2 linked regions of the Coturnix japonica genome follow. The protein of the gene in region 1 purifies or fractionates together with the protein of each later gene. This does not show direct contact. Links are inferred from orthologs where the notes say so. Each region holds a gene or a part of one and is shown in the gene's direction. Other genes may lie near its edges.

Evidence for each region. Proteins that work in one complex are often made in the same cells at the same time.
Region 2: the proteins of CAMKV (region 1) and AHCYL1 purify together in Homo sapiens (affinity purification with mass spectrometry; 3 studies listed by BioGRID and IntAct, counting the BioPlex papers as one, with this or other methods). This does not show direct contact. The link is inferred for Coturnix japonica from reciprocal best matches to the Homo sapiens genes CAMKV and AHCYL1.

What each region holds. Positions count from the first base shown.
Region 1 is NC_029527.1:1,485,462-1,489,572, reverse strand, and holds the start of CAMKV (caM kinase-like vesicle-associated protein), read left to right. Parts: upstream 1-1,306; 5' UTR 1,307-1,426; intron 1,427-3,798; 5' UTR 3,799-3,812; coding exon 3,813-3,907; intron 3,908-4,111. UniProt on the Homo sapiens protein: Does not appear to have detectable kinase activity.
Region 2 is NC_029541.1:1,678,408-1,682,511, forward strand, and holds the start of AHCYL1 (S-adenosylhomocysteine hydrolase-like protein 1), read left to right. Parts: upstream 1-1,287; 5' UTR 1,288-1,473; coding exon 1,474-1,581; intron 1,582-3,642; exon of another isoform or gene 3,643-3,860; intron 3,861-3,948; exon of another isoform or gene 3,949-4,070; intron 4,071-4,104. UniProt on the Homo sapiens protein: Multifaceted cellular regulator which coordinates several essential cellular functions including regulation of epithelial HCO3(-) and fluid secretion, mRNA processing and DNA replication.

The sequences.
Region 1 (4,111 bases):
GTTACACTCCAGGATCCCGGGTGGGCAAAGATTAATAACAGAGCCGTGCGCTGCTTCCAGGCTGTGTGATTAAACTCTTGATTAGAAGCTCAATGTACGGCGCTCTGCTAATTCCCCCGAGCTCACGCGCTGTTAATTACATGGTGTGCGTGGCAGTGAGGCCGGGGCTGTGGGGGCTCTGGGTCTTGACAAGGGTCTGTGAGCAGTCAGGGCGAGAAGGACGGAGCCTGAAGGAAAGTGCCCAGCTCCAGCAGGGTTGCACTCTTCCTATTCCATCCCATTCCATCCCACCCATCTTTATTCTGTTTAATCCATCCCACCTTGTGCTGTCCTATCCTATTTTATCTTATCCTATCCCATCCCACTCATCCCACCTTGTCCCACCTCATCCATCCCATCCCATCTAACGCATACCATTCCATCCCATCTCTTCCACTGTCCTATCAGATCCTGTCCTGACCCATCCTACCCATTCCATCCCAGCCATACCACTCATCCCATCGCACCATCCCATCCACCCCATCCTATCTCATTCATCTACTTCCATCCCATCCATCCTATTAGCCCCATCCCAATCATCCCAATCCATACCATCGATCCCTCTCTATCCCATCACACTCACCCTATCCAACCCCTCCCAATCATCCCAATCCATATTATCCATCCAACTCCAGCTCATCACATCAATCCCATCAAATCCATCCCAATCCATCCTATCTCCTCCAAATGTCCTGTCCCGTCCTATCACACCTCATCCACCCCATCCCACCCGTTCTGATCCATCCCACCCCATCCTGTCCCATCCTACGCACACCATTCCATCCATCCCATCCCATTACACCCATTCCATCCAACTCACCTCGGTCCATCTTACTTCCTCTGTCCTACCCTGACCTGTCCTTCCATATCCCATCCATCCCAACTCATCCACCCCATCCCCTCCATCCCATCCCATCCCATCCATCCCATCCCATCCCATCCCATCCCATCCCATCCCATCCCATCCCACCCCACCCCACTCGCTGCCCATGATGTCACTCCGTTGGCTGCAGCTGTCCCAGCGCTCCATCCCTTTAGGTGTCCCCGCATCCCCCCACCCCTCGCGGTGTCACAGCGATGCCACGCACCCCACTCCCGTGGGTGGCGGCTCCCGCACCAAGAGGGGGCGGGTCGCAAAGTTTGGGGTTACGTCACGGGAGGGGCGGGGGGACCCCACCGGAGGAGGGGCGGCACCCGGCGGCCCCACCCCCCCCAATTGCCGCGCCGGGCGCGCGGGGCCGCGCCGCGACGGAGCGACGGCGGTGCTCGGCTCGGCTCGGCTCGGCTCGGCTCGGCTTCGCACCGCTCCGCACCGCCCGGCACCGCGCGGCTCCCCAAGAGCGGCGGCCCCGGGCCGCGCCCCCCGTTGCTGTCGGAGAGGCGAGAGGTGAGCGCGGCGGGACGGCCCCGGGGGGATGCCGAGCCGAGCCGGGCTGAACCGTGCCGCCCTCGGGGCGTGGGGCTGCTGGGCCGGGCCGGGGGCGTCGCTGGGGATCGCCATGTGTTGGCCCGGGGCTGCCCCTCCGTATCCGTGCCTCATCCCCCCGTGCCGTGCCCGTGTGCGCCCCGACGGCCGCCCCGCGCCGCCCCCCGCTGCCGCCTTCCCCGACCCCGGCGGGCGGCCGAGCTGCCGTCCCGTCCCAACCCCGCTCCATCCCCGTCCATCCCATTCATCCCACCGCATCCCGTACCACCTCATCTCGTCCCGTCCCATCGCATCCCACCACACCCCACCCCATCCCATCGCTGCCGGACAAGCTTTGTATCCTTCCCCGCCCGCTCTCCGCTGCTGCAGCCCCCAGCTCGCTCCTGGGCAGATGCATCCTGGTTGGGGGGCACCGGGCTGTAGGGACCCCCCGGCCCCGTCTCTGTCCGCATCCCAGGAGCTCCCTTTGGGTGCAGCGCTGCGGGCTCCCGTAGCCCCTCCACTCTGCTGCCGCCCGCACTGTGGACGCTTGTGTCCGCTTTCCTCTGCTACAGCACTCTCGTGGGATGGGGGGTGCGGCGGGGACCCTCTGGCAGCGCGGCTGGGGGCTGCAGGTGCGAGGGGCTGCAGGTGAGGCTGGCTGAGCTGCAGCTGGGGGTCCCCGAGCCGTGGGGCAGAGCTGAGCTCCGGGATGCTGGGGGGATGCTGGTGAGGGCTGCACGGCTGCGTCATCCCGTCCGCACCCGGCCACCCACCTCCCGCTATTGTCTTACACCCGCTGTTGCTTCTGCTCCCAAATTAGCTGCTTCAGAAGGGGGGGGGGGCCGGCTGCGTGCGGGTGCCAGAGCAGCATCCAGCCTCCCTGCTGCGCCCAGCTCTCACCTGCAGGACATGCCGGGGATGCTGACCCGGGGCAGAGGACGGTGCTCAGCCCGGCAGGATGGCACCCGCTCAGCCAGCAGGAGCTGCTGGGATGGGCGCAGGTCAGCCGAGCGCTTGCAGAGGCAGCAATCAGATCCCTATCTGTCATCCCATCGGGTCCCTGCATGGCTCATCCACGCAGCACGCCGGCAGCTCATCATCCCAGCCCTCCCAGCCGGCCACTGGCTGCGGGGACAGCCCTCGTCCCCTCGCCCAGGGGCAGCGGCACGGCACAGCCTGCGTTGTGTGGCACGGGGACACTCGGAGGAGTCAGGCAGGGCATGTCCCCTGTTGGGCTGAGCCCAGGGAAGCCAGGGAGGCTTCAGCAGGTCTGTAGCTTGGGGTTGAGTTCTTCTGCACCCACGGGTGCTTTGCTTCTCTTTTGGGAGTGGGCGCACTCTGAGTGCGATGGGGCCGGCTGCTCTCACCTGGCACAGGCTGATGCCCTGGTGCTGCACAGCGAGGGGCTCCCATCCCGCAGGCAGGGCTGGATGGAGGCAGCGAGCGCACGATGGAGCATCCCCACACCCCTGCATCTCTGTCCCCACACCCCCCTCGGGGTCACCCACCCCAGGGATCATCCCTGTGCCCGCACATGGTGCCACAGACAAGGCCCCCATCGGGGGTCGGCGCGGCATTGCCGGGGCTGCGCAGCGCAGCAGGTCGGGTGCTGCGGGTGCTGCCCGTCCCTGCCCCCGCCGCAGGATGTGCCGCTTTCTGCATCTTCAGCTCCCATCGCCATAGCAACAGGCTCAGCGCTTGGGTACCCGCCGCGCCGGCTCCTGCATCCCGCTCCGCCATCCTGCCACCGGGACCGGGGCGGCGGGTGCTGGCAGCGCGGTGCGGTGCGGCACGGCACGGCTTGTCATCCCGGGAGCTGGGGGCGATCGGTGCCTCAGGCACCACACCAGCATCCCGTTGGACGTCCCGCTCAGGCTGAGCGGGGCCACGGAGCCCTTCTCTTCCTGAAGCATCAGAAAATAACATCCGTTCAAACTTCCTCCCTGAACGGGATGGGAAAGAGGAAAAAAAAATCACTTTCTGGGAACGGGTTTTTTTGGCAGCAAGCTCCAGAGAAGGGGCTGGGATTGGAGGGATCCTGCCAGGAAGGCAGAGGGCACAACACCATCCCCGAAGGGCAGGGTGGCAGCATGCAGCAGGCGATGCTGGAGCTGAAAAAGCATCACCACAGGGCAAAATGGGGCTGAGGAACCAGTCTACTCGCCACACCACCCGGCGAGCTGCTCATGGCTCTGCCTATGGAATAGATTTGTTACCAAGCTGCAAAGCTGGTGGGGCAGAGCGGCCGGACGCCACGGGGATGGGCTGCACTCTGTCAGGTTTTATGCTGCTCAGGAGGGATGGGTGCGGGCAGCGGGGCTGGGGCTCTCACGGCTCCTCTGCCTCTGCAGCACTGGGCCCTGCGATGCCGTTTGGCTGCGTGACACTGGGGGACAAGAAAGACTACAACCAACCGTCCGAGGTGACCGACAGATATGACCTGGGCCAGGTCATCAAAACGTGAGTGCATCCCTGCCCAGCCCCAGGAGCGCCCATGGGGACCCCCACCCTGCACCTCTTGGGGAGCGCGGTGCCTTTGGGGCTGGGGTGCGTTCCCTCCAACGAGTGCTGATTCCAGGAGGGTTTTTGCCGTCTGCTCTGAGCACAGAATCGCTGCCGGTGCTGAGGCTGCTGCTGCTGCTCGCCGCAGCCTGGCGCCTGCGG
Region 2 (4,104 bases), on another chromosome or scaffold:
GTGGCTGTGGATGGGGCACCGTCGGACCACAGCCTTCCCTATGGGGCAGCAGGGACCACAGCCCTCCCTATGGGGCCGCAGACTGCTGACGGGGCAGCGCCGTCCCGGAAAGCACCGCGGGGCCGCGGTTCCCCACTGGGGGTTATAGGGACGGAACGGAGCGATCCCGGCCACCCTGATGGGATGGAGGGTTGTGTCGAGTGAGGACCGGCCCGGGCCCGATCTGCGGTCAGACAGAGCAGTTTTGGTTAAGGGGAAAACTATGAGCTGCGATGCTGCAACGCTGCTGGCTCTGTGGGTTCATCGCTGTGGGGCTGGAGGGGGGACGAGCAATGAGGGGAGGTACATGTGTGTAACCCCATTGCTGGGTATGGGGGGGGTAAGGGTGGGAAATGGGGATCCCAAGGGGGAAGCGGAGCCATTCAGTGCTGGATGGATGGATGGATGGATGGATGGATGGATGGATGGATGGATGGATGGATGGATGGATGGACAGCAGCACCATCAGCCCGTATCAAGGAGGGACGTGGCCCTTGGGAGCACCATGGGGGGCTGAGCTGAGGGTGCTGACCCCCCCCCCCGTGCATTACAGCCCATCCCAGCCCGTCCCCACCATGATGGATGCTTGTTCCTTGGATCTGGCTGCCCCTAGAGCTGTGCTTGGGGCTGCCCTGACCCAGCGCAGAACAGAGAGCTCAGCCCTCCAGGAGGATGGAAGGGAGGTGGGTGGGGGCGAGGATTCTCTGGGTCCCTTCCAACCCAAACCATTCCATGTCTCTGTTTCTCAGTTTATTTATGACTGAATCAGATCATAGTGGGGTTAAGCTTCTTTATTCATTCTTTTATCTGTTTATTTATGCATTATGTCCTCATCCTCATCCCATCCCATCCCATCCCATCCCATCCCATCCATCCTCCATTCCAACCCATCCTCCATCCCAACCCATCCATCCTCCATCCCAACCCATCCCATCCCTTCTCACCTCATTCCCATCCATTTTCATCCCATTCCCATCCCACCCCATCCCATCCCATCCATGCCCATCCCATCCCCCGCCATCCCCATCCACCCATCCCCATCCCATCCATCCCATCCATCCCATCCCATCCCATCCCATCCCATCCCATCCCATCCCATAGTCCTCCCGTGGCGGTCCATTCCCCCCTTCCACCACTAGGTGGCGCCATGGTGCCGCTCCCGTTTCCATCCCGTCTCTTCTATCTCCCCGCCTCACTCATCCAGCGGCCGCGTGATGACGTCATCACGCACTAACGTCACTCCAGAGCCGCCCCCGGCGCCCCGCGCGGTGCCCGCAGTGTCCGCCGCATCGCGCTGCGAACCGACCGGAACCGAACGGAACCGAACGGAACCGAACGGAACCGAACGGAACCGAACGGAACCGAACGGAACCGAACCGGGGCGGCCCATCCCTCCTCCTCCCCTTGTACCCCTCCGTTCCGCCTCGAGACACGATGTCGGGCCCGGAGCCCAGCGGCGGTGAGGAGGCCAAGCAGGCCAAGGAGGCGGAGGACGCTGAGAAGTTTTCCTTTATGGCCACCGTTACCAAAGCGCCCAAGAAGGTACAACGGGATCGATAGGGGCTGGAATGGGGCCTATGGGGCTGTATGGAGCTGTATGGGGCTGTATGGGGCTGTATGGGGTCAATATGGGGCTGTATGGGGCTGTATGGGGCTGTATGGGGCTGTATGGGGCTGTATGGGGCTGTATGGGGCTGTATGGGGCTGTATGGATCTGTATGGGGCTGTATGGGGCTGTATGGATCCGTATGGGGCTGTATGGGGCTGTATGGGTCTGTATGGGGCTGTATGGGGCTGTATGGGGCCGTATGGATCTGTATGGGGCTGTATGGGGCCGTATGGATCTATATGGGGCTGTATCGGTCTGTATGGGGCTGTATGGATCGGTATGGGGCTGTATGGATCCGTATGGGGCTGTATGGATCTGTATGGGGCTGTATGGATCGGTATGGAGCCGTATGGGGCTGTATGGAGCCGTATGGGGCTATATGGATCTATATGGGGCCGTATGGGGCTGTATGGATCTGTATGTGGCTGTATGTGGCTGTATGGGGCCGTATGGTGCCCTATGGATCTGTATGGAGCCTTATGGATCTGTATGGGGCCGTATGGATCTCTATGGGGCCGTATGGGGCCGTATGGGGCTGTATGGATCTGTATGGAGACTTATGGATCTGTATGGGGCCGTATGGAGACTTATGGATCTGTATGGGGCCGTATGGAGACTTATGGATCTGTATGGGGCCGTAATGGGGAGACTTATGGATCTGTATGGGGCCGTATGGAGACTTATGGATCTGTATGGGGCCGTATGGATCTGTATGGAGCCTTATGGATCTGTATGGAGCCATATGGGGCCCTATGGATCTGTATGGAGCTATATGGGGCCGTTTGGATCTGTATGGGGCCGTATGGATCCGTATGGAGCCCTATGGAGCCCTATGGAGCCCTATGGAGCCCTATGGAGCCCTATGGGGCCATATGGGGTCGTATGGATCTGTATAGGGCCTTATGGATCTGTATGGAGCCGCATGGGGCCCTATGGATCTGTATGGGGCCGTATGGGGTCGTATGGATCTGTATAGGGCCTTATGGATTTGTATGGGGCCGTATGGTGCCATGGGGTGAGAGCTGAGTGCTGCCCCACCATGTAGGGCTGTTGTCGGGGCTTATAGGTGGGCACATCGCTGTGTGCTGGGCTCAGGGTGTCCCCATTGGGCTCAGTGCTTTGCTATGGGTCCCCGTGTGCTCATAGTGGGGACACAGCCCCCATTGGGGACCCCCCTATGGGTGGTTATGGCAGCACTGGGATGTGATGGGAGCGGAGGGTTGGAGGCTGTCGTGCCCAGCTCTGTTTATTCAGGCTTTGGATGTGGCCTGAAGGAAGGAGCGGAGGAATGTGGAGCTGGGAGCTTGTAGGGGGGGTTTGTGTTCTTATTGCTTTTGTATTTAATGGAGCTGGGCTGGTCATGGAGCTGATGGTAACAGGGTGAGGCTGTGGCTGAGCTGGGAGCAAGCAATGAATCCTGGAGCATCATACCCACGGAATAAGAAATAACCTCAGTGTATCCAGGGGGAATCCTGGTGTTCTCAGAGCTCTGTCTGTGCTCGGGTTGGTTTGGGATCCTTCCTTACCTCGCTGTGCTGCTGTGTGCATTGAATTGCGTTGCATTGCATTGCGTTGCATTGCATTGCATTGCATTGCACAGCACCAAGAGCAGCCGTCACACTGCAGCGCTGTGATGGTGGAGGTGCCCTGAGCCACGGGAGGCATTTGATGCTGATAACATCAGCGTTGCATTGAGATCCTGGGGAGCTTGCAATGCAACTGAGGTCAAGGAACAAAGCGCTCGGGGCTGCTGCTCTCCTTGCATGGCTGCTTTGTGCAAATAGGGCTCAGTTATAGGGGAAACCTTGGCAGGAGGATGAAAGGAGAAGGATGGAGAATCACCCTGCAATACAGCGCTGAGTGCCCCCAGCTCTGGGCATTTCAGATGCTTTCCAATTGCAATGGAACCATTCAAACGCCTCTTGGTTTTAATGCAAGCCAAAGCTGCTTACGGCTGCTCCGAGCGTGGCCAGCATTGAAGATGGCTGAGAGGTGGAGCTGGAGGACACAGTGTGTGCCCTGATACTGGGATGGAGCTGAGCTGTGTGAGCTGAGCTCCTCAGGGAGCAGCTTTGCCTTGTCCCAGTGCATGGGGTGGGTGTCCCCAGCTTGGAGCCCCCCCTTGAGCACAGGGGGAACACATGGGCTGCATCGGAACCCTTCAGCATCGCTCTCCTGATTTGCTTAAGGTGAAAAAGTGAAACAGCAGGAGGTAAGAGATTAAAAGATTACACGCCATCGGATTGAAGTCGGAGCTGCAGCCGTCAGAGCTGGGGGTTCCCTGCAGCAATGCGGCCGCTGCTGCTCCAGGAGCTGCTGGCGTCGCCTGCAACCTCTTGCAGCTCCTTTGCTGCTCTGCTTCCCGGGGACAAAACAGTGGGAGCCATTGGGCTGCTGGGCAGGGAGAGCTTTGCAGGCAGAGGTGAGCGATGCTGAGCCTTGTGCTTTGGTGGGGG